Linked DNA regions of Daphnia pulex. The protein of the gene in region 2 interacts with the protein of the main gene of each other region in a biochemical or structural test. Links are inferred from orthologs where the notes say so. Each region holds a gene or a part of one and is shown on either strand. Other genes may lie near its edges.

What was found.
Region 1: the proteins of SWI/SNF complex subunit SMARCC2-like (region 2) and calphotin-like form a complex in vitro, tested with the Drosophila melanogaster proteins (2 studies listed by BioGRID, with this or other methods). The link is inferred for Daphnia pulex from reciprocal best matches to the Drosophila melanogaster genes mor and Bap111.
Region 3: the proteins of SWI/SNF complex subunit SMARCC2-like (region 2) and brahma-associated protein of 60 kDa-like form a complex in vitro, tested with the Drosophila melanogaster proteins (2 studies listed by BioGRID, with this or other methods). The link is inferred for Daphnia pulex from reciprocal best matches to the Drosophila melanogaster genes mor and Bap60.
Region 4: the proteins of SWI/SNF complex subunit SMARCC2-like (region 2) and ATP-dependent helicase brm-like form a complex in vitro, tested with the Drosophila melanogaster proteins (2 studies listed by BioGRID, with this or other methods). The link is inferred for Daphnia pulex from reciprocal best matches to the Drosophila melanogaster genes mor and brm.

What each region holds. Positions count from the first base shown.
Region 1 is NC_060024.1:6,635,618-6,640,675, reverse strand, and holds calphotin-like, read right to left. Parts: upstream 3,129-5,058; 5' UTR 2,968-3,128; coding exon 2,895-2,967; intron 2,701-2,894; coding exon 2,650-2,700; intron 2,554-2,649; coding exon 2,519-2,553; intron 2,448-2,518; coding exon 2,358-2,447; intron 2,295-2,357; coding exon 2,037-2,294; intron 1,976-2,036; coding exon 1,878-1,975; intron 1,807-1,877; coding exon 1,380-1,806; intron 1,314-1,379; coding exon 201-1,313; 3' UTR 81-200; downstream 1-80. Other genes in the region: collagen alpha-1(I) chain-like, read right to left, coding at 3,497-4,041, 4,123-5,058.
Region 2 is NC_060024.1:13,930,268-13,935,131, forward strand, and holds the start of SWI/SNF complex subunit SMARCC2-like, read left to right. Parts: upstream 1-1,861; coding exon 1,862-1,975; intron 1,976-2,057; coding exon 2,058-2,242; intron 2,243-2,310; coding exon 2,311-2,474; intron 2,475-2,539; coding exon 2,540-2,690; intron 2,691-2,750; coding exon 2,751-3,316; intron 3,317-3,381; coding exon 3,382-3,470; intron 3,471-3,561; coding exon 3,562-3,705; intron 3,706-3,767; coding exon 3,768-4,864. Other genes in the region: NAD kinase 2, mitochondrial-like, read right to left, coding at 1-179, 248-524, 599-805, 864-1,171, 1,234-1,402, 1,468-1,551.
Region 3 is NC_060018.1:7,203,708-7,208,487, reverse strand, and holds brahma-associated protein of 60 kDa-like, read right to left. Parts: upstream 3,281-4,780; 5' UTR 3,102-3,280; coding exon 3,018-3,101; intron 2,944-3,017; coding exon 2,726-2,943; intron 2,665-2,725; coding exon 2,502-2,664; intron 2,440-2,501; coding exon 1,954-2,439; intron 1,881-1,953; coding exon 1,735-1,880; intron 1,666-1,734; coding exon 1,542-1,665; intron 1,472-1,541; coding exon 1,334-1,471; intron 1,252-1,333; coding exon 1,096-1,251; 3' UTR 895-1,095; downstream 1-894. Other genes in the region: CCR4-NOT transcription complex subunit 9-like, read right to left, coding at 3,979-4,159, 4,226-4,780. UniProt on the Drosophila melanogaster protein: Involved in the recruitment and site-specific anchoring of the Brahma complex at specific promoter sites.
Region 4 is NC_060018.1:7,736,731-7,741,487, reverse strand, and holds the start of ATP-dependent helicase brm-like, read left to right. Parts: upstream 1-1,381; 5' UTR 1,382-1,537; intron 1,538-1,860; 5' UTR 1,861-1,870; coding exon 1,871-2,538; intron 2,539-2,602; coding exon 2,603-3,143; intron 3,144-3,208; coding exon 3,209-3,469; intron 3,470-3,532; coding exon 3,533-3,910; intron 3,911-3,973; coding exon 3,974-4,369; intron 4,370-4,437; coding exon 4,438-4,702; intron 4,703-4,757. Other genes in the region: uncharacterized protein LOC124205796, read right to left, coding at 13-278, 362-595, 663-835, 896-1,026. UniProt on the Drosophila melanogaster protein: Transcriptional regulator. Acts as a coactivator, assisting one or more dedicated transcriptional activators of ANTC and BXC homeotic gene clusters. Can counteract the repressive effect of Polycomb protein.

The DNA.
Region 1 (5,058 bases), about 7.3 Mb from region 2:
TCATGAAATCCTTAATTAAAAAGTGTGTAAATACTATCATGAATTACTGAATAGAAATATTGTTCTTTTCGATTTTGCAATCTTGTTCCAAAGTGTATTGTTTATTTTGGACTCCATGCGCAGGATGCTAACAATATCTCAAGATCGCGGGGGGTAAAAATGAAGTTTAGTTTTAAATTGTGGCGTTCATTTAGAAAAAATCAAGCTTCAGTAGTACTGGGAGGAAGCGCTTGGGGATCTGGAGTCTGACCAACTTCAGGATGTGGCTTCTCTTCCTCTGGTTGTGCGGTTGTCGTTGCTGGTGGCACGGGTAGTTCTTCCGGGGGAGTAGGCTCTGAGATGGTGGGCACCTCGTCTTCTTTCTTCTCTGCCACCAATTCTGGTTTGACAGACGGTTCTTCGACTGCAGGTTCGCTAGGAGCACTGACTGGTTGCTCAGCTGCGATCGAAGGGGTTTCAACGGATGGAGATGGTTCGGCGGGTGCTGGAATTTCGGCTGCAACTGCAGGAGGTTGCTCAGCAGTGACGTTTTCAACTGAGGGGGTCTCTGGAGCCGGTGGTGGCTGGGCTTCGAACGAATGATGAGGTGCCTGTTCAGTCGATGGTACAGGAGGAGTTGGTTGGCGAGGGGTTTCTACCACCGGAGCGACAGGCAAAGATTCAGATACAATCGCTGGAGGAGCTTCAGTCACAGGATTGTGGGTCACATAGGATTCGGCTGGCATTGGTGCAACAACTGGAAGGGCCTCGACAACTGGAGCAGCTGCGACAGTCGGTTGGATGACTGAGGTCGTTTCGACAACCGGAGTTGCTTGGATAATAGGAGCAGCCTCGGCCACTGGAGCAGATTCAATTACAGGAGGAGCAATGGGAATTGGCTCAACTGTAGTCGTAGGAGCGACTTCAACTGAAGGAGCAGTTTGAACTGGTGGAGTTTCAATCGCAGGGGTTGGCGGAGGAACATTAACGGCAGCTAATGGCTCTTCACGTCTAATTTCTTCGACTTTGAAAGTCTCAGGGACGGTGGGCTTCGTTTCTTCCGTTTCCATCGGGACAGGAGCAAGTGACGACGGCTCCTGGCTCACTACCGGAGTGACAACGGGTTCTTCCGTCTTGGCTGTCAAAGGAGCAGCCACTGGAGCCACCACTTCCTTCTTGGGCTCTTCTTTCACGACGACCGAGTCTTCCGTTTCCATCGGTTCCACCGGAGCAGACGGAGGTGGAGCGGCAGCAGCAGCTGCCGCCGCAGCGGCCGCGGCAATAGCTGCTTCCTTTTCAGCCTGCAAAGCAGCGACAGCAGCAGCAGCTTCACGCTATCAAATTAAAAAATTCCAAATTAAAAATCTACAACATTTTGAGTTTATAATTGATGAAAATACTTCGCGCATCAGTTCGGCTTGACGTTCTCTTTCCCTCTCACGTTCCTTCTTGATGATTTCCGTCTGCTGTTCGACCATGGACTGGAAAGTCTCTTCGTCGATGGGCTTGCGACACGTGCGCACCAGATCGTCCTGGAAGACGGAACTCGATTCGACAAATTTGCGCTTCTTGGAATCGAATTTCTCTTCGATCTGCTGCAATTCCGTCTCCAACTTTTTCTGGTGCATCGTCAACGAGTGCACCTGTCTCTTGAGCACCTGCATGCGAGCTGTGGTGACGACCGAACGAACGTCCGGCACCACCACGTCCGAGAAGATTTCGTGCACTAATCGGTGATTTCGGACGTAGCGGGCGTGGGCCACGTGCTTGACTGACATGCCGTCGTCAATGTCTTCTTCATCCTCTGCCGGTTGGATTTCAATGCGTCTATATTTTTTTAAATAAGTAAAATTTTAGTCATGTCAATTTTGGAATAGCATAAAGATTAAAAGTCAAACCTGTCGTTGAAAGCTGCTTTGGCCGACATGCCTCGTTCGCTGGCAGATTCCTTCTCATCTGCTCCCTGTTGAGCTTTGCTCTTGGCAGTGATGTATGCCTAAACGAATTGTGATGATAGTTTCAAACATTTTAGTTTTAATTTTGCTAGAATGAATTACCTGATAAGCTGGGGAATTGTGGTAGGCTTTTAGAGTGCGTTCGTATTCGACCTTTTCCGTTTCGTACTCTTCGACAAATTCTTGCTTGTCGCCGTCGGGCAGATCTCGCCACATTTGGCCAATGATTTTACCAATCTCCCAGAGCTTCAGCTCTTGATTGGCTGCCTTGACTTCATCCCAAACTTTACGAGAATATCTCATGTAGGGCATCAATGGTTTCTCAGGTGCTTTAGGCGGTTTCAAGGTGTTGCTGCCACTCTAAACAAGCAAAGAAGGGTTCAGTAAAGATATCGGTTATGATGAAAATGGTGAATCGAGTACCACTGCGAATTTGGTCCCAAGTTTTTGGGGGTTGAACTGGGGATGTCCATGAGGATTCATGACAAAAGGATTCTGGTTGCTCGCATCTTTCTAGAATTTTTAAAAGTATTGGTGCATTAGCTACAAATAATTTTTTCCCCCTTAGACTATGGACCACTTACCGACATTCCCTGGGAGCCAGATGCCCTTAACCGTTCTGCATCAGACATAGAAAACGTTAGTTATACAAGAACATTGGTGCAGCTCGAAGGAAATAAATAATAATTTTTTTCGGGTCAACACAAAAGGGTACCTTTTAGAATGTTAAATGATACAGGCATTCCATGGTTGTGATTCATGGCATCTGAAGCATTAGAGAAAACGTGAAAAAAAAACTAAGGAACTACATAACAAGCCAACATCTAAGTCTAACGAAATAAAAGTCGGGTGCAAATAAAAAAGTAAACAAACAACAACAAAAATGAATCTAGAAAAGAAAACTAAAAATAACGTGGTGCACGCAACTGAATCAAACTTAGGAACATCGATAGAACATACGAGATGAACCGGTACTTGGAATCGGAGCTGGTGAGGCCATGGCGTTTTGGCGATAATTCTGTGGCAGCGCCATTTTAGTATTATCCGAAACTTATCCGCGTTGTGAATTCCGACCAATCTGAGTAATTTTCCTTTGTAAAACGGAGCACAAAAAAGTACCAACTAATAGATTTCCCTCGATTGAAAACAACAAACCAAAGCGTCGTTACTCAGTAGGTAGTAGTGGTCTGTCACATTTTTGAAGCCTCTTCTCACTCTGTTGTATATATTGGGCGGGAGATGGCTAGTTTTCAATTACGAGAAATTTTCTTTTGAAAAATACGAATTAGACTTCTGAGATTCAGATAAATTTAAACTTTCAATTTAACATATGTGTATTGTTTATTAATCATTTCCCTTTTGGAGTTTATTTTTCTTAGTTTACAGTCACGAAATAGTAAATATCCACAGATTCCGTATATTACATTGGCTTGTTTCAATGTAAGGTAAATTTTCTTTTTACTATAATTTTGTAATTAATTATTAGAAAGATAAATAGGAAACAAAAAATGTTTCATGCTGATTATGCTTGGAATGGGGGCTGGTGTGATTGATGAGAATAATCACCACACTACTCGTACGTAGCCTGGATATGCAGGTGGTAGATTATTGTTTTGGTAAGACTGTCCTGAATATTCTGAAGCAGGCCCACTTGGGTAGAATGACGAGCTGGCCGGCTTATTACTTTGAGGTTCGTCGGACCAGAAAGATCCAAAGAAGTCAGAGAACGAAGAGCTGGGTCTAGAGCTGGGTCTACCATAGGGTCTTCCTGAACCATAGCTGCTGGCTGTGCCTGGTTTTCCGCGAGGCCCGACAGGCCCAACTGCTCCGGTTTTTCCAGGGTAGCCATTATCACCTTTTTTTCCTTGAGGACCAACTCCGCCAGCTGGTCCAGGTTTTCCAGGATAACCAGGAGCTCCCTCATTACCTGGTTTGCCTTCTGGACCGACAGGACCAATGGGTCCAATATCTCCAGGAAGACCAGGAGAGCCATTAGGGCCAGGTTTACCTTTTGGACCTTTCGGACCTATTCCACCAGGATTGCCGGGTGTTCCCGTCGGACCAGGTTCACCATCCTTGCCTGATTTGCCTTCCTCACCTGGAGCGCCTATAATAAGTCCAATATTCATTTGTTTGATGCAATCAAGTCATTAAAACGAGCAGTTAATTAAGAAACAAAATTGTATACCTGTTTGACCAGGAGCGCCGGGCGATCCGTCTTTTCCAGGCTCACCAGGTGCGCCAGTGAGGCCCTCTTTGCCAGGTGACCCGGGGTCTCCTGGCGTTCCACGTTCTCCTTCTGGCCCAATGGGTCCAACAACGTCGCTAGGTCCACCGGGCAAACCGTCTTTACCAGGTGCTCCAGGATTGCCATTGAATCCGTTGTCGCCCTTTGGTCCAGGCCCACCGGGAACACCATTCAAACCAGGTTTGCCTGGATTACCTTCCAATCCAATTGGTCCTTGTGGACCGATTGATCCAACTGGGCCAGTATTGCCTGGAGCTCCATCTTTCCCGGGCATTCCAGATAAACCGGGGGGTCCTGCGACCTTGGATGGAAGAGTCAATCCTGGCGCTCCAATGTCACCTTTCGGTCCCTGGACTCCTGATTCCCCTGGGAATCCGTCTTTTCCTGGATTTCCAGGTGCTCCAGCTAGGCCAGGTTCGCCATTAAATCCAGGATCTCCGCTCTCGCCCTTCATTCCTGGGGCTCCAGGATCGCCAGCAGCTCCCGTATTACCTGGATCACCCCTCTCTCCTTTGGTTCCAGGAGCGCCTGGGTTGCCCAATTTTCCTTTTGGACCGGGTCCTCCAGGAGCACCAGGAGCACCTGCAATTCCATCGTCACCTTTTGGCCCGTCCGGCCCTCTCTCGCCAGGATTTCCAGGTGGACCAGGAATAAGTTCGTATTGGCTGCTGCCGTAAAATGATTCTCCTTCGGGTCCAGGAGGACCGGGCAGTCCAATCAGCGCTGGGAATTGCTCCAATAACATTTCCCATATTTTCTGAGGATCCTGGTCATTTTGGTAAGAACCTGCTGGGGCCTTGTATGGATTCAGCGATGGCCGGGACCACTGCTGCTCTCTGTAGAAGGAATCTTTATCGTCGCCATAGTAACCATCCC
Region 2 (4,864 bases):
AGCGACTGTTCCGTCATTAAAAGAATACGACAGTCCACCATCGATGACTAGGGAAGCGTCAAAACAGCGGGAGCGAATGTTGAGTTGCTTAGCGAATCCTCGAGGTTTCCGCTCTCCCGGTACTGGTAATGTCCCATCCGATAATGAGTCTCGAATTGTGTAACCCATTAAAGCTATCTCTGTAAAAGAAAATCTCATGATTAAAAGGGCTTTTGTTTGTTTGAATAACTGAACAATCAAATAATACCAGGTCCAAAAATGAGGTTATTGTTAAATTTTGCAGTAATCCTATCAATGAGGCGTTGATCCTTATAGTCAATTGGTAAGCGCGTTTCTTCTTGAATCAGTTGCATTAAATCACTGACACTTTGATGCGGAAGCTTGTTGATATTAAAAGTCCAGGAGGTAGATCCTGTTCCAGTCGATACACACAGTCCTGAACTTTTGACTTTAGTACGCTCACTTCCATCCACTGCAAGCTCATAGTAAGACACTCGAGCGGAGAGAGCTTCGCCTATAAATACCTGTACAAGTAAAACGAAAATTTAAAGTTAGTTTTGATTTGATTGAAATAGTGTTTTCAAATTTTATACTGTACTTCGTTGAGAGCTTTCACAGGCAAAATTCGTTTGTTCTTTATGCTTTCTTCTGACTTAGGGACCTCGTCACGGTACTCGGAAATCTCTAAAAATCGGTTTTCTAATTGATTAAGCTGCTGATCATGCAGCTCAACAGGTACATCATAAATTTTATCGCCAATGAGTGTCACGCGGATACGCTTGCGAAAAAGCCAACGGAACTTTCCCTATGAACAACAAAATTTACTATTTGTTTGGAAGAGATAAAAAGGACGAGGAATTAACCTGAAGTAGCTTGTCAATGGCATTCTTGATGTTATTAGAGTATTTCTTCGGGAGGCAGAGGTAGCCTTCGGATCTTGTAGGATCGCTATTAAAACCAATTATCGTCTTCGTAGGATCGTGGATTTTACTTGCACCAAGTAAAAATGTACCATCTCCTCCAGCAGTAAAGATAACATCAGCCCAGTTAATGTTACTTTCATTGTAATCAAAGCGAGTCACAACTTTTGTTTCAATGTTCTTTTGCTCCAAGATACTCTTCACCATGGCTTCACAGTTTTTATGGAGAGTATGATGGTAGAGTAACATATCTAAAGAGAATAAACACTATAAGTATGTATTAAATTAACAACTAAAGTAAAGAAAGAATTACTGTAATCAGATCCTCGCTTTCGTAAGGCGTGCTCCAATTGATTTTCATCAAGATTCTTGTGCCTGAGCTTCTCAAATTCATAGCGAGATAGTTTTGTCAATACCAAGGCTTTTTTTGGAGAAAATGTGGATGCCTCTGATGGGCTCCAACTTCCTACTGAGTTTCTTGACTGGAAAAATTAATAAAAAATGTAGGTTTAAAAAAATTTTCAGAATGAAGTTGGTGTATCCCTACTAGTTTTCTGTACAGCTGTAAATTTCCTATGAAGGATAAGCTCCTTGTCGGCGAACCTTGAGATGCGATTTTTCTCAGAAACATAGCAGCACAACCGTATGGGTCACCGGAAAAATGGTCAGTAAGAGAAAGAAAAATACGTGTCAATCAGTCACGTTATATTTCTATAATATTATCTCTGCCATATTATCAGTTCACCAATAATCTGTTACGTGATTTCAAAACATTGGTTTGGGAACCATCGTACGCAGAAAAACTGAAATAGCCTAGCAGACAAAAAATTATTTCAACTTCCTAACGATAGATGGCTCTGTATAAATAGTGACGGCGTTTGAAACTAAACGACTTCCCTCCCTTGAATGTGAAAGAAGACGCATCAAAAGCATCATCAAAGATGGCTTTCGCACCGAAAAAAGACGGAGGACCAAATTTAAAATTCTACGAGTCTCACGAAACTTTGTTGCTTTTCGAAGGAGTAAAAGCATGGCTTTCAAAAAATTGCAAAAAGGTAAATATTCACCGGCAGCAATCACCGTTTGTCATGTTAATTCTTCGCTGTCATTTGACCGGTTCATTCCCTCTTGTTTCAGTATGTTCAAACAGACCCTCCAACAGCCAAAAGTCTTTCAACTTCCATTACTCAAGTTATCCAGTTTCAAGAAGATACTTATGGCAAAAATGTGGCTAAACCACCTTTGACAAGGATTCCTACAAAATGCTTCCTAGACTTCAGGCCTAATGGCGGCATCTGCCAGATTTTGGCTACTGTTTACAAGTATGTAACTCTTTATTTGTAGCATGCTTCAGTGTTATTGACATTTTTCATATTGATCTTTATAATAGGTATCGTACTGACCATGGATGGAGGCGCATGGATTTTGCTTCTCCTTCCAGAATGGAACGCCACATTGAAATGATGGTTGCGATAGAGAAAGCACTGATTCAAGCCAAATGTCTTGTTCAGCCTAATATTTACATCATGCCAGATGTTGATAAAGGACTTGTCGGTAAGTGCTGTTGTCATATAATAATGCAGTGTTAACAGTTTCATGACCTTTGAATGTCTCACTAGGTAAACTGAAAGAAATTGTCAAAAGGCATCAAGGGTTAATCGCAGAGACTGAAGCTGAAGCAACACATCTTGTTCATTCGGCTGCTGATCCACTCGAAGAAGAGTACGCCCGTCCACTGTTTCGTCGCGATCGCAACACTTTGCTTCATTGGTATACCTCAGTTAAAGCAACAGTTCTGAACCCATGAATATACAACGTGTCATGTCTTAGGTATTACTTCCCAGACTCGTACGACAAGTGGGATACGATCGAATTACCTGTCGATCCTCCAGAGCTCTCAGACTATCTCGAATCTTTGAATGAACCTCACAAAACCTACCGAGTTGCCGCCAACTGGTTGCTGGATTTAGATCAATACAACGAGTGGATGAATGAAGAGGATTACGAAGTCGATGCTAGTGGAAAGAAAAAAGTGCACAAGCTTCGATTGTCCGTTGAGGATTTGATGAGTGGCGGTGACAGTAAACAAAAAGGGAAAACTCCTTCCACTTTGAAACGGAGAAGGTCTCCTTCACCGGCTGGCAGTGGATCGACTAAAGCCGCTGCAACTCCCACAACTGCTGGTGGTGCTGGAAACAAGCGCAAGAGTGTCCGTCCTGCCTTGGGCAAAAAATTCAAAGGTGGCGAAGAGGACAGCGACGATCTTACACGAGACATGGACGATCCTCCCTCAGACACTAATCTCCGCGAAGTCGAAGTGCCAAAGACTCATCCCGTTCCGGGCGGACCTCCTCCAACGGCTATTAAGAAAGATGCCGATTGGATGCCCACTAAAGGTATTATAGATTATTTATTCTTTTGTTAATTGTAGTGTCATTGTTGTATTTTTGATTGAAATTAGGAGCTGCATTGACTGATTTAGATGAAGAAGGTGAAAAGTTGGCAGATATCACATTAGTCACACCACAAGACGATCCGCACGGGCAGCAGGTACTGCTACAACAGGTTATTATTTGGTCGGAAATTTCCAGAACTGTTTCGAGTAACCAGCCGTGTTATTTATTCACCTCCCCCATTTTAGCATGACGATAATGTCACCGACCAAACTCACCACATCATCATTCCCAGCTACGCTGCCTGGTTTGATTACAATTCGATTCACTCGATCGAACGTCGCGCCTTGCCCGAATTTTTCAATGGCAAAAACCGTTCAAAGACTCCAGAGGTAAAATGAAATTTTGGTTTTTCTTTTGTTCAAGTCATACCCATTTGGTCTTTTATTTTCAGGTTTATTTGGCGTATCGTAATTTTATGATCGACACCTATCGCTTGAATCCTACCGAATATTTGACCAGCACTGCGTGTCGACGCAATTTGGCCGGTGACGTTTGCGCCATTATGCGCGTTCACGCCTTTTTGGAGCAGTGGGGACTCGTCAATTACCAGGTGGATGGGGATTCACGCCCGATGCCTGTCGGCCCACCACCCACATCGCACTTTCACATCCTCTCTGACACGCCGTCAGGTCTGCAGCCCGTCAATCCTCCTCGGACAACGCAGCCATCAGCGGCCAAGACTCTGATCGACATGGATAAGAAGACGGCAGCTCGCCAATCCGAAACAGCTCCCGTGGCCAATAATTTCGGCCTGAAACTGGACCAATACAGCCGTAAGAGCTCGTCCGTGTTGAAGAACAAGGCAACCAGAGAGTGGACGGAACAGGAGACGCTGCTCCTGCTCGAGGGTTTGGAACTGTACAAGGACGATTGGAACAAAGTCTGCGAACACGTTGGAACTCGCACCCAGGATGAATGTATTCTCCACTTTCTTCGCCTTCCTATCGAGGATCCATTTTTTGAAGACGTTGAATTGGGTGGCGGCGGAGCTGTTGGACCTTTGGCCTATCAGCCCATTCCGTTCAGCCAGGCCGGCAACCCCATCATGTCGACGGTGGCGTTTTTGGCATCAGTTGTGGATCCACGAGTTGCTGCCGCTGCTGCCAAAGCTGCGATGGAAGAATTCGCCAAGATCAAGGACGAAGTTCCATCGGCCCTGCTGGAAACGCACTTGAAGAACGTCGAAAATGCTCTGAGCGAAGGCAAATCGGACGCCTCGGTGGCCGCTTTGGCCCAATCTGGAATTGCTGGAACAGTTCAAGACAAGGAGGAGGCCGAGAGGGAGAAGGAGAAAGCGGACAAATTGGCCGAAGAGAAGGAAGCCTTGGAGAAGAGCGAAGAGAAGAAGGAGGCTGATAAAAAGGTGGAAGAAAAGAAAGAAGCAGAGAAGAAGGAAGGTGAGAAAGAGGAGTCGACTAGCGCTGAAGGCAGCAAGGAGCCAGAGAAAGAAAAGACGGCCACTGAAAGTGAGGAAGACAAAGCTGAGAA
Region 3 (4,780 bases), on a different chromosome or scaffold from region 2:
GCTGGATTAAAAATTATTATTTTAAAAAATGTAGCCATAACACCTTGAAAATTTATCATTTTATAATTCCTACTTAAAAATAGCTTTTCTTTCTTTTGGAATCATCCGTCCCATCACCGCTGCATCTCTGTCTCCGCACCGGTGGATTTATGGGTCCTTATTATTTACTGAATAATGCAATGCGCCGCTGTCAGGATGTGAGTCGGAGACATCACGAATCACGATCTACGTTCCACCACAGAATCGAATTGACGGCCGTTGTTCTTCCGTGTCATCTGTAGATAAATTAGAACTAGAATATTTTTTCACCGGCTACAGAGAACGAATTTTGATGAATTCTCTCTAAACACTCACGCAACACGACGGAACTCCACTGTGTAATTCAATCAACAAGCTATCTAATGAAAAGCGCAAATAAAGATACTTGGCGAATCAGATCAATTTATCAGTTTCCTACTACAACAATTTCTTCATCGAAGGAATATTGAACCGATCCCATGACCCCAATACTTATCGATTACTCAACAGTCCCTTGATAGTTTATAGTTTATTTGTTTTGAATGGGTCGGGCGTTCGAGCACAGTAGAAAAACCAGACTGATATTAATGCATCAATTACTACGAGTTTAGTAAAAATGTGTTCACCCATGGCATCATATGACTATTCTAAAATTATCAGATAGATCAGATGAGCCCTGCACTGCCTAAAATTTCCTTCTTAAATTTAAGCGAATTTAAGTTAAGGAAAAAGCGCTACCTAGATTTGGGACACACGGTAAAAATTGAAAAGCATAAACACAAAAACAAACAAACAAAAAAATTTAAAAAAAATAAAAATCGAGAGGTCTGAATCTCTTTACTTGCGTGGGTGGCAAACAATAGTAATGATGAAGTATTATTTTAAGACACCATGTATTTAGACCCAAATTAGGATTCACGATACTCGAAGAAAGTTAAAAGTTTCCTTGTTATTTTACCAGTCTGCAAATGCACGATAAGTAACTCGGGATTTTTCTTTTAATCTGCTGTCACTTGGTCACAGTTGGCTTACATAAACGATGTCCAACCAAAAGTTGTTTTCCTTAGTAGTAACATTCTAATTGTTACGAATGCCTAATGCCTGTTCCAATTCGGCACGCTTTTGTTGAACTTTGCTGTAAAAATATCGGCAAACGGCTTCTTGGGTCCAGCTTTGCTCGTAAAACTCTCCACGTCGCTCCTCTTCGGGATTTCCTACGATGTCAGTCATAGTCTGAAAACAAAAAACAAAACAAAAACACATCGTTTAAATTTATCCAACACATTTTTGTAAATTTTTTTATTTAGCTTTTTACCTTCAAATCCCTTGTTTGAGATAAGAGCCATTTGTTTATGAATTGCTGCGGATCTCGGGCAAATCCAAGGAAAAATTCTCGACTGATCTTCAGTTGATTAATGCTTTCAACCGTTTCGTGGATCTTGTTGTCTAAGCTCTACATCCACAAATTAAAAATTAGATATATCTTAACATGCCAAAGTAATTGACAGGAAGAAAAAAAAAACCTGAATTTCTTGCTGGCTTGCAGTAGAAAGCAAAAAATTATTCATCTGGGCTTTCAATGTATCATCAACTTCTACATCAATGTCATAGCAGGCAGTTTTTTTCTGATCTGCACTCTCCACACTGCTGTTGAAAGAAAAAAGTTATAAAATTAATATAAAATGGAAAATGGTCTCTTCTTTAATTTCTAAGTACCTTATCAAATGGTTGATAACAATTGGATCAGGGGGATGTAAGAGAGGATTCAATCTTTGTGGAATTTCAGCAAATTTCATTCTAGGACATCCAAATATTTGTTCCATATATTTGTCACAACGAATGAATTCTCTTTCTTGGTGATCCTAAGGTAGTAAGGAAGTAGAAAAAAAATTAGATTATTCTTGACACATGGCTTGTAACAGCTATGAATAATACCTGAAGTTTGTGAGTTTTAATGTACTGCCACAATGCAGAGATTACCATGGGTCTTGTTTGAGTGTGAATGCCAAGAAGACGAGCCAAACGCGAGTCGAGACGAAATTGCAGCGGTTGATAGTCGAGCAAAAGTAAGATGGTACACCGTACATTTCGATCTCCTGGTCGTTTTACTTGAAACCCATCCGTTTCTTGAGTAGTAGACGTTCGATGCCATTCCACAAGGTGGTTATCAGGCCCATACAAGTCTTTATCAAGCTCAATGACGAGAGATTTGAAAAACGAAGAAAACTTCCGTTTGACTTTATTGGGATCTGATTTGGCAGCATCATCCAGAAGTCGTCCTTCTACTCTCAGTTCCCAAGAAGCAACCCCGCTTCCTCCGCCAACATCTTCAGTATTATCCATTTCTCTAGCAGGGTAGAATGTGTTTGAGATGAAAATACGCAATTTTCGTTTTTGTTTCATGGGTCTTTTCAAAGCTTCCTGAAACGAAAGTATTAAAAGTATTACTGACACGTGTAAAAGAAATCTTTACTTCAACTTACTTGAATATCGAGACGTTTTCTCATAATAGTAGCATCCAATTTTCTTTCAAATGCCAATAAATCCATGTAAGCTTGAGATTCAGGAACCAAATCTCGAACTTTCTGTGGAAGAATCTTGTCTGCAAGCTTTTTCTTTTTCTTTGCACTGTTAGGGCCATATTCACTACATATAAACCATTAATACTTGGATGTTAAGGACACAAAGAAATAATCTGATTTCTTACAGTTTTCCTGTTTGATTAGGGGCTCTCATGTCACCAGGTCTCTTCCCTGGTCCCAAAGCTTGGGGGCTCATTCCGGGACCACCAGGCCTTACAGGCTGTCCACTATAGGAATTTGGAGGTGTTGGATTCCCAATCATGTTTGGTCTTTGACCCATCATTGTAGGACTTGCTGAAGAAGTAGAGTTTGGAGGGTTTTGAATTTGATTGAATGCCGGGCGCTATGATAAAATGAAAGTTGAATGACATCAAGGTTTGGTACTGTAAAATTGAAGACAACAGAAACTATACTTACAGGGTAATTTGGAGAGTTGAACCGCATAGAACTCCCCGGAGAAGGAAAGGGAGGTCTTCCTGTAGCTGCGTTCGTATTTTGCATTTTATAAAACCGTCAAAACGGCGATCGACACAATACACACCAAAAATTAAGATATACTTTTTCTTCGATTATTTACTTATTTAATTCTTAGTGTTCTTTTGCTTTTTTACGGATGAGATGAACGGTCGAACCTGCCGTTTGAAGCTTTGATTCGCCATCTGTTGACCGCGTCTATAAACCTCCCTCAACACCACGTAGCGGCCAAAAAGCATACAATTCAAGGTTTTTTTGTTTCTATAAAATGTACAAAAATTCAGCTTGGAATCTCTTGGAATGTTCAGAGGGTGCGGGTTGCGCGAACGAACTTGATATTATTTATTTTCCATTCCCATTATTCATTAATTTTCAGACCTAATTTCTTATTTTACGGTAGTGCACTCAGATAATATTCGATTATTTGCAAAAATACAAAATAGTAAGTAATTTTTCAATACTTGGACCAATTAAAAATCTAAGACTTAAAAGTTAGGACCAAAAGCAATCGTGGCAGTTAACAAAAACATTTTTATCGTCACAAAATATATTGCAACAGAGATAGATAGCTTGAACCGTCTTGACACTACACCCGTGGCCCCGTGCTACATCTTTCGCCTTGTCTTTCGCGTTAGTAAATTGAACCTAATTTTTACATAACACTTCAAATTTATATTGCGTATTGATACTGAACAAAAATGAAATCACCGTTTCGTGTATCCTCAAATGAACATCTTATAAGTAAATTTAACATTCTCTGAAACACGTGTTTATAATTTATATAATAAGTCAGCAGAAACCGCAAAATTAGTTGCAATAAAAAACAATACAGCAAGTTTGTATTATAATTCTGATCGATTTTTCGCTGAAGACAAGACAAGAGCATTCATTCTTTTTTAACATTTCATGGTTGAGTCATTGAGGGCAAACCGGTGATTCGGGGATCTACCATTCCATTAGTAGTTTCCAAATTTTTTAGAAGTTGCGCCATCCACTGTTTAGTTGACTTATCATCTTTAAGACATGTTGAGAAAGTGCTATCACGCAACTGATCAGGTAGGCATTGTCGCAACGCTTCACGAGCCCTAGAAAATATAGTCGAATTTTATATCAATACGAAAATTCCTTTTTGGTTTTTGCAAGTCCCTTACCTTGGATTGTCAGAAAGACGAAGATAACATCGGACAACGTGCTTCAAAAGACGAGCTGACTGTTCTTTGGCCAATGATAAAACCATTTTACCAAGTATCATTGCAACATGAGAAAAGCGCTCATAAGTTTGACAAATGTAAGCCAGACCAGTTTCATCCAAGAGAATTTTTTGAAGTATGAAAGTTGCAACAGTCTTGGACAGTTCAGATCCAGTTTCCATTATCCTCAAACACAATGGAATTATCTCTGTTGTAAGAAGAAAGTTGATAACCTCCTGTTCATCAGTTTTAACTAGAGCACCAATGACTCCCAAACTGGTCAAACGAAGATATTCAAATGGCCGTGTCTTGCTCACAGTGTGCAAAAAAGGGTAGAGGAATAATGGGATGTGAGCTTGCAGAAAAGCAGATCTGGTTTCTTGGTGTGAAGCAACACATTGCAGAAGAGCAAGAGCATTGCAAACTCTGTTGGACTGTTGAGCAGTAAGAGTAGGTGGACTTACTGCTGGATAAATGCTTACAATATCTTGCAATAGAGCTGCTATAGTTCCAAAT
Region 4 (4,757 bases), on a different chromosome or scaffold from region 2:
ATGTCTTAAAGATTATTTGAAAAAAGTTCTGTGGGGTTTCTTTTTCTGTTGACGTTCGATTTCCTCTTGCTGACCAAAATATTGGAATGAAGACTCGTCTGTCCCATCTGCAAGTGGTCGCTTTTTCTGCGACTGTTGTGCAGTTCCTGCTACCCACATTGCATTACGTCGCATCTTGTTACGATAATATTGTTTGAGTTTTTCTCGCTGCTCAAACCACTTATTTCGGTCACGGTACGCTTCTTCCTTTGCTGGCTGGTAGATAAAATCTGTAACCTCTATGAACAGACAAAATGTATGCACTATTATTGAGTTCACAATAGTTGTCAAATCTAACAATAAGTTTTAAATTTATAAAAACCTTTTAAACGGTTGTCTCCAGCGTGGAAAAAAAGTGGTTCCGTCCACATACCGGCATTTTTCCAATAGCCTTGATGCTCAACATTGCTCACTGTTTCTGGCTTAAACAAAAGTTTAGGGTCTTTCTGGGCAAATAGTTTTGGTGGCAAACTAATTGGTTCTTCTTCTGGTTCTACTGCAAGATTGCTCTCCTGAAAGAGGGTTCGTAGAGAGAACTCACTACCTTTGCCAATATCTAGATTACAATGAATTAGTGTAAACATATGCATTATACCAATAAATCATAAATACATTTCATATACCTAGAGCTTCTGTTGTCTGGTAATAACGTTCAGAAGATACTTCTGGTAGAGACTGTTGCTCAAAATCCATCTTGCCTTTTTTAAATGGCTTATCTGTGTTGCTCTTTGTTACTTTCTGAAACTTATTATCATGGCTCGAGAGATTTGAATCAAATTGGATGAATGCTTTGTTTCTAAAAAATATGAAAATTTTTAAAAACAATAATATGAATGGCAATGCTTATTTTTCATACCTGAGCAGGGGTTTTGCTGACTCTGACTGCTGTTCATTGCTAAGAGACAAATCAACCATGGTATCACTTTCTTCAACATGTTCGTCGAAGATAATTTTTTTATTCAATGGCTTTTCAGATATAAACGACATTGTCGATTGTATCACGCTACTAAGCTGCGGTTTTAAGTACTGTACTTCAGTTCGTTGTTAATTATAATATAACGTTTTATTATCATCAATCTTTCCGGAAAATTTGTTGAACTGAACGTCTTAACACGTGAGTCGTGAGAAATTGAAAATAATGATTTTCGTCTGCTAGAATGCAAACAAATGACACGAGTACACCAATGCCACTAACGTTTGGCTTGTCTGTAAATGAATTTTTTGGAATCTAATTTTAGGTAAATTTATTGAGAAGACGGATTTCACTAAAAATAAGAAATTATATTTAAATAAACGTTAAATTTATTGTGGCTTGTCATCCCATGTGGCAACTGTTTCCAGAAAAATCTTCAAGGTTCGTACTACATAGTTCACCACACCCCCACGGAGGGCGAACCAAGCAACGCCAAGCAACGCAACGCCATAATTTTCTATATTATTCGTTCTGAAAGGGAATTCCCAAACATAAACTAATAAAGGGCAAAGCAATTATTGAAACGTGAGTTAACAACCATAATGGTGTAATTGATTATACACTTTATATTTTTAAACTTTCATTATCTGAAGATATATTCGTAAAATTACTTGTCACGAACTTCACCGGCAATGAATCTAAAGAACAATTCCTTTCATCCCCTTGCAAACATTTTTTTCATTTTTATTTGATGCTTCAACATATTTTAAGTAAACTCTTGGAAGTAAATGAAAGTTTATAAATTCAGTAGATGTTTATCTCTTCTATATTATTAGTGCATGTGAAATCTTTTTTGTGTTGAATTTTGTGTTAGTAAAATTTTTTCCGTTGTTTACTTTGTGTCTTAGGCTGTGAAATATGTCATCTGGAGAACCACCTTCTTCGATGATGACTTCACCTGGGCCAGGGCCTGGAACACCTCAGCCATCACCTTTGTCTCATCCTGCTGCATCTCCAGCACCACATTCACATCCAAATTCAAATGCTGGAAATCAACAACAGCAAGTTGCTTCTCCTATGGCACCTCCGCAACCACCTTCTCCAATGAACCATCCTCAACCATCTCCATCACCCATGGGTCCACCAATGCAGCAACACCCTCCCCAGTTTCAACAACAACCTCAGCAGCAAACTTATCCACCACCCATGTCAGGAGCAGTTTCGATGGGGCCTCCTCATCAACCTATGCAGCAACCAATAAGGCAGCATCATGGTGGAGTTCCACAGCCTCATTATATGGGAGCAAGTGGTGGCTATCCTCCAGGTTCACACCACCAACCTCCACAGCAACCAAATTATCCATCACAGCCTGGTGGACCAATGCCTCAACAATCCCAACAGCAACCAGGAGCACCACCTTATCCACCTGACAGTATCAATGCTTTGCAAAGAGCTATATCTACAATGGAAGACCGCGGCTTGCAGAATGATCCTCGCTATGCTACTCTTCTTGCCATGAGAGGAAAACAAGAGGGAATGGCTCCTACTAGCCACAGTCCTGGTCCACCACTTATGGATCCTAACAGGTAACTTGAATTGCGATCAAAATATATCTGAACAATGTGTAACTGATCCATTACCAATATTTAGACAACCTGGTGTGCCATCGCAGTATGGGCCGCCCAATCCAGCGACCCTTAATGGCAATTCTTCTGGACCGGAAGGGGCCAATTCTATGAAATCGTCATTCCTATCACCTACACAAGTCCACCAGCTACGAGCGCAAATTATGGCTTACCGGTTGTTGGCTCGAAACCAACCTGTGCCAACAAATATTGGAATGGCTGCCCAAGGGAAACGGACGGACCTTCCGACACTTCAGTCGCAGCCTAATACTGTATCACAGCTGGATCAACAACAACAGCAAATATATGTTCCGTCTCCGTCTCAGCCTGGACAGTCTTTCCAGAGACCTACAGCTCCTTCGGCTCCTACTCCGATGCAACCTTCTAGCGTACGGCCTATTGGGCCTCCATACTCTTCTCAGCAACCTGTGGCACCATCACCGAGCGGACAGCAGTCTCAGCTACCTTCTATGGGGCCACCACCATCGGCAGGAACTCCAACTCCGGGAACTACTGCAAGTCCAGTTCCTGGTACCATACCGACTCCTCGTCCCCCTCAGCCACAGGTAGATTTTCTAAAATGTCATTTGTTTTAGAATGGTTATAAATGCTACTTGTACTTAAATTGTAGGTCCCTGTACATCCGATGCAACCATCCCAAGGGGCTACTGCCCCTACTGCAATTCAAATGGGTAATGCTGCATTGCAGCCCATCATAGCACCACCAGCTGTGCCCACTTCTAATGCCTCACTCATGCAACAACAACCCGTGATGCCACATTCACAGCAGATACAACCACAGCAACTGCAGCAACAAACACTTGTGTCTAAACAAAACAAAGTTACCCCAATTGCCAAACCAGCAGGATTAGATCCAGTTGTAATTTTGCAGGTATGTGTAATCTATTCGAAGTAATATAACCTTAACATTATATATATTTATTTATTTTAACAGGAAAGAGAAAATCGCATGGCTACGCGCGTTGCCTACCGTATTGAAGAACTTAGTAATCTACCTACTACAATGGGAGAGGATTTGCGAATTAAGGCGCAAATTGAATTACGTGCTCTGCGATTACTTAATTTCCAACGGCAGTTGCGTTCAGAAGTGTTAGCTTGTACGAGAAGAGACACCACGTTAGAAACAGCTGTCAACGTTAAAGCTTATAAGCGGACAAAGAAACAAGGACTACGAGAAGCTCGAGCAACTGAGAAGCTTGAGAAACAACAGAAAATGGAAGCTGAGCGCCGACGCCGTCAGAAGCACCAAGAATATCTTACTGCGGTCCTTCAACACGGCAAAGATCTTAAAGAGTTTCATCGTAACAACCTGGTAAATAATTATACCAGATACTTTGGTGATAAGAAAGCTTATTTTAAAATTTTAACTTTTTAGGCGAAAATTGTGCGCATCAACAAAGCTGTCCTACTACATCATGCTAATGCAGAACGTGAACAGAAGAAGGAACAGGAGCGTATTGAAAAAGAGCGTATGCGTCGCTTGATGGCGGAAGATGAAGAAGGTTACCGTAAGCTTATCGATCAGAAAAAAGACAAACGTCTTGCATTCCTTCTTCAACAAACGGACGAATACATTGCCAATTTGACGGAGATGGTGAAGCTGCATAAAACTGAGCAACGGCGAAAAATGAAAGAGCAGCAGATGATCAAAAGACGTGTGCAGCGGAATGATGATGGAACAGTTGTGGAGGATTTCCATGTGAGCGTTATTGAAACGGCTTCTGGGAACACGCTTACCGGCGAGGAAGCGCCACTTGCTTCAGTTCTCCAAGTAATTATTACTATTCCAAAGAATTTTCATTGTGACGTTTTTGTGATAATTTTATTTTCATTATTAAGACCTGGTTGGAAGCTCATCCTGGCTGGGAAGAATTAATTGAGGATGAAGAGCAACATATTGAAGAAGAACGACCGGAAGAGGCAAAGAAAGCTGTAACCGACGAATCCAAAACTGCCGACGAAGCAACTGTTGTGGTCGTAAAAACGGCGCTAGATGACGAATACAAGACCGATGACGGAGAAAAGAATTACTATTCGATTGCCCATACCGTACACGAAAAAGTTCACGGACAGGCTAGCATTTTGATCAATGGCAAATTGAAAGGTGACTATGCGACATTTGTCTGTAACAAGTGTGATGCAATATGTTTAATGCTTTT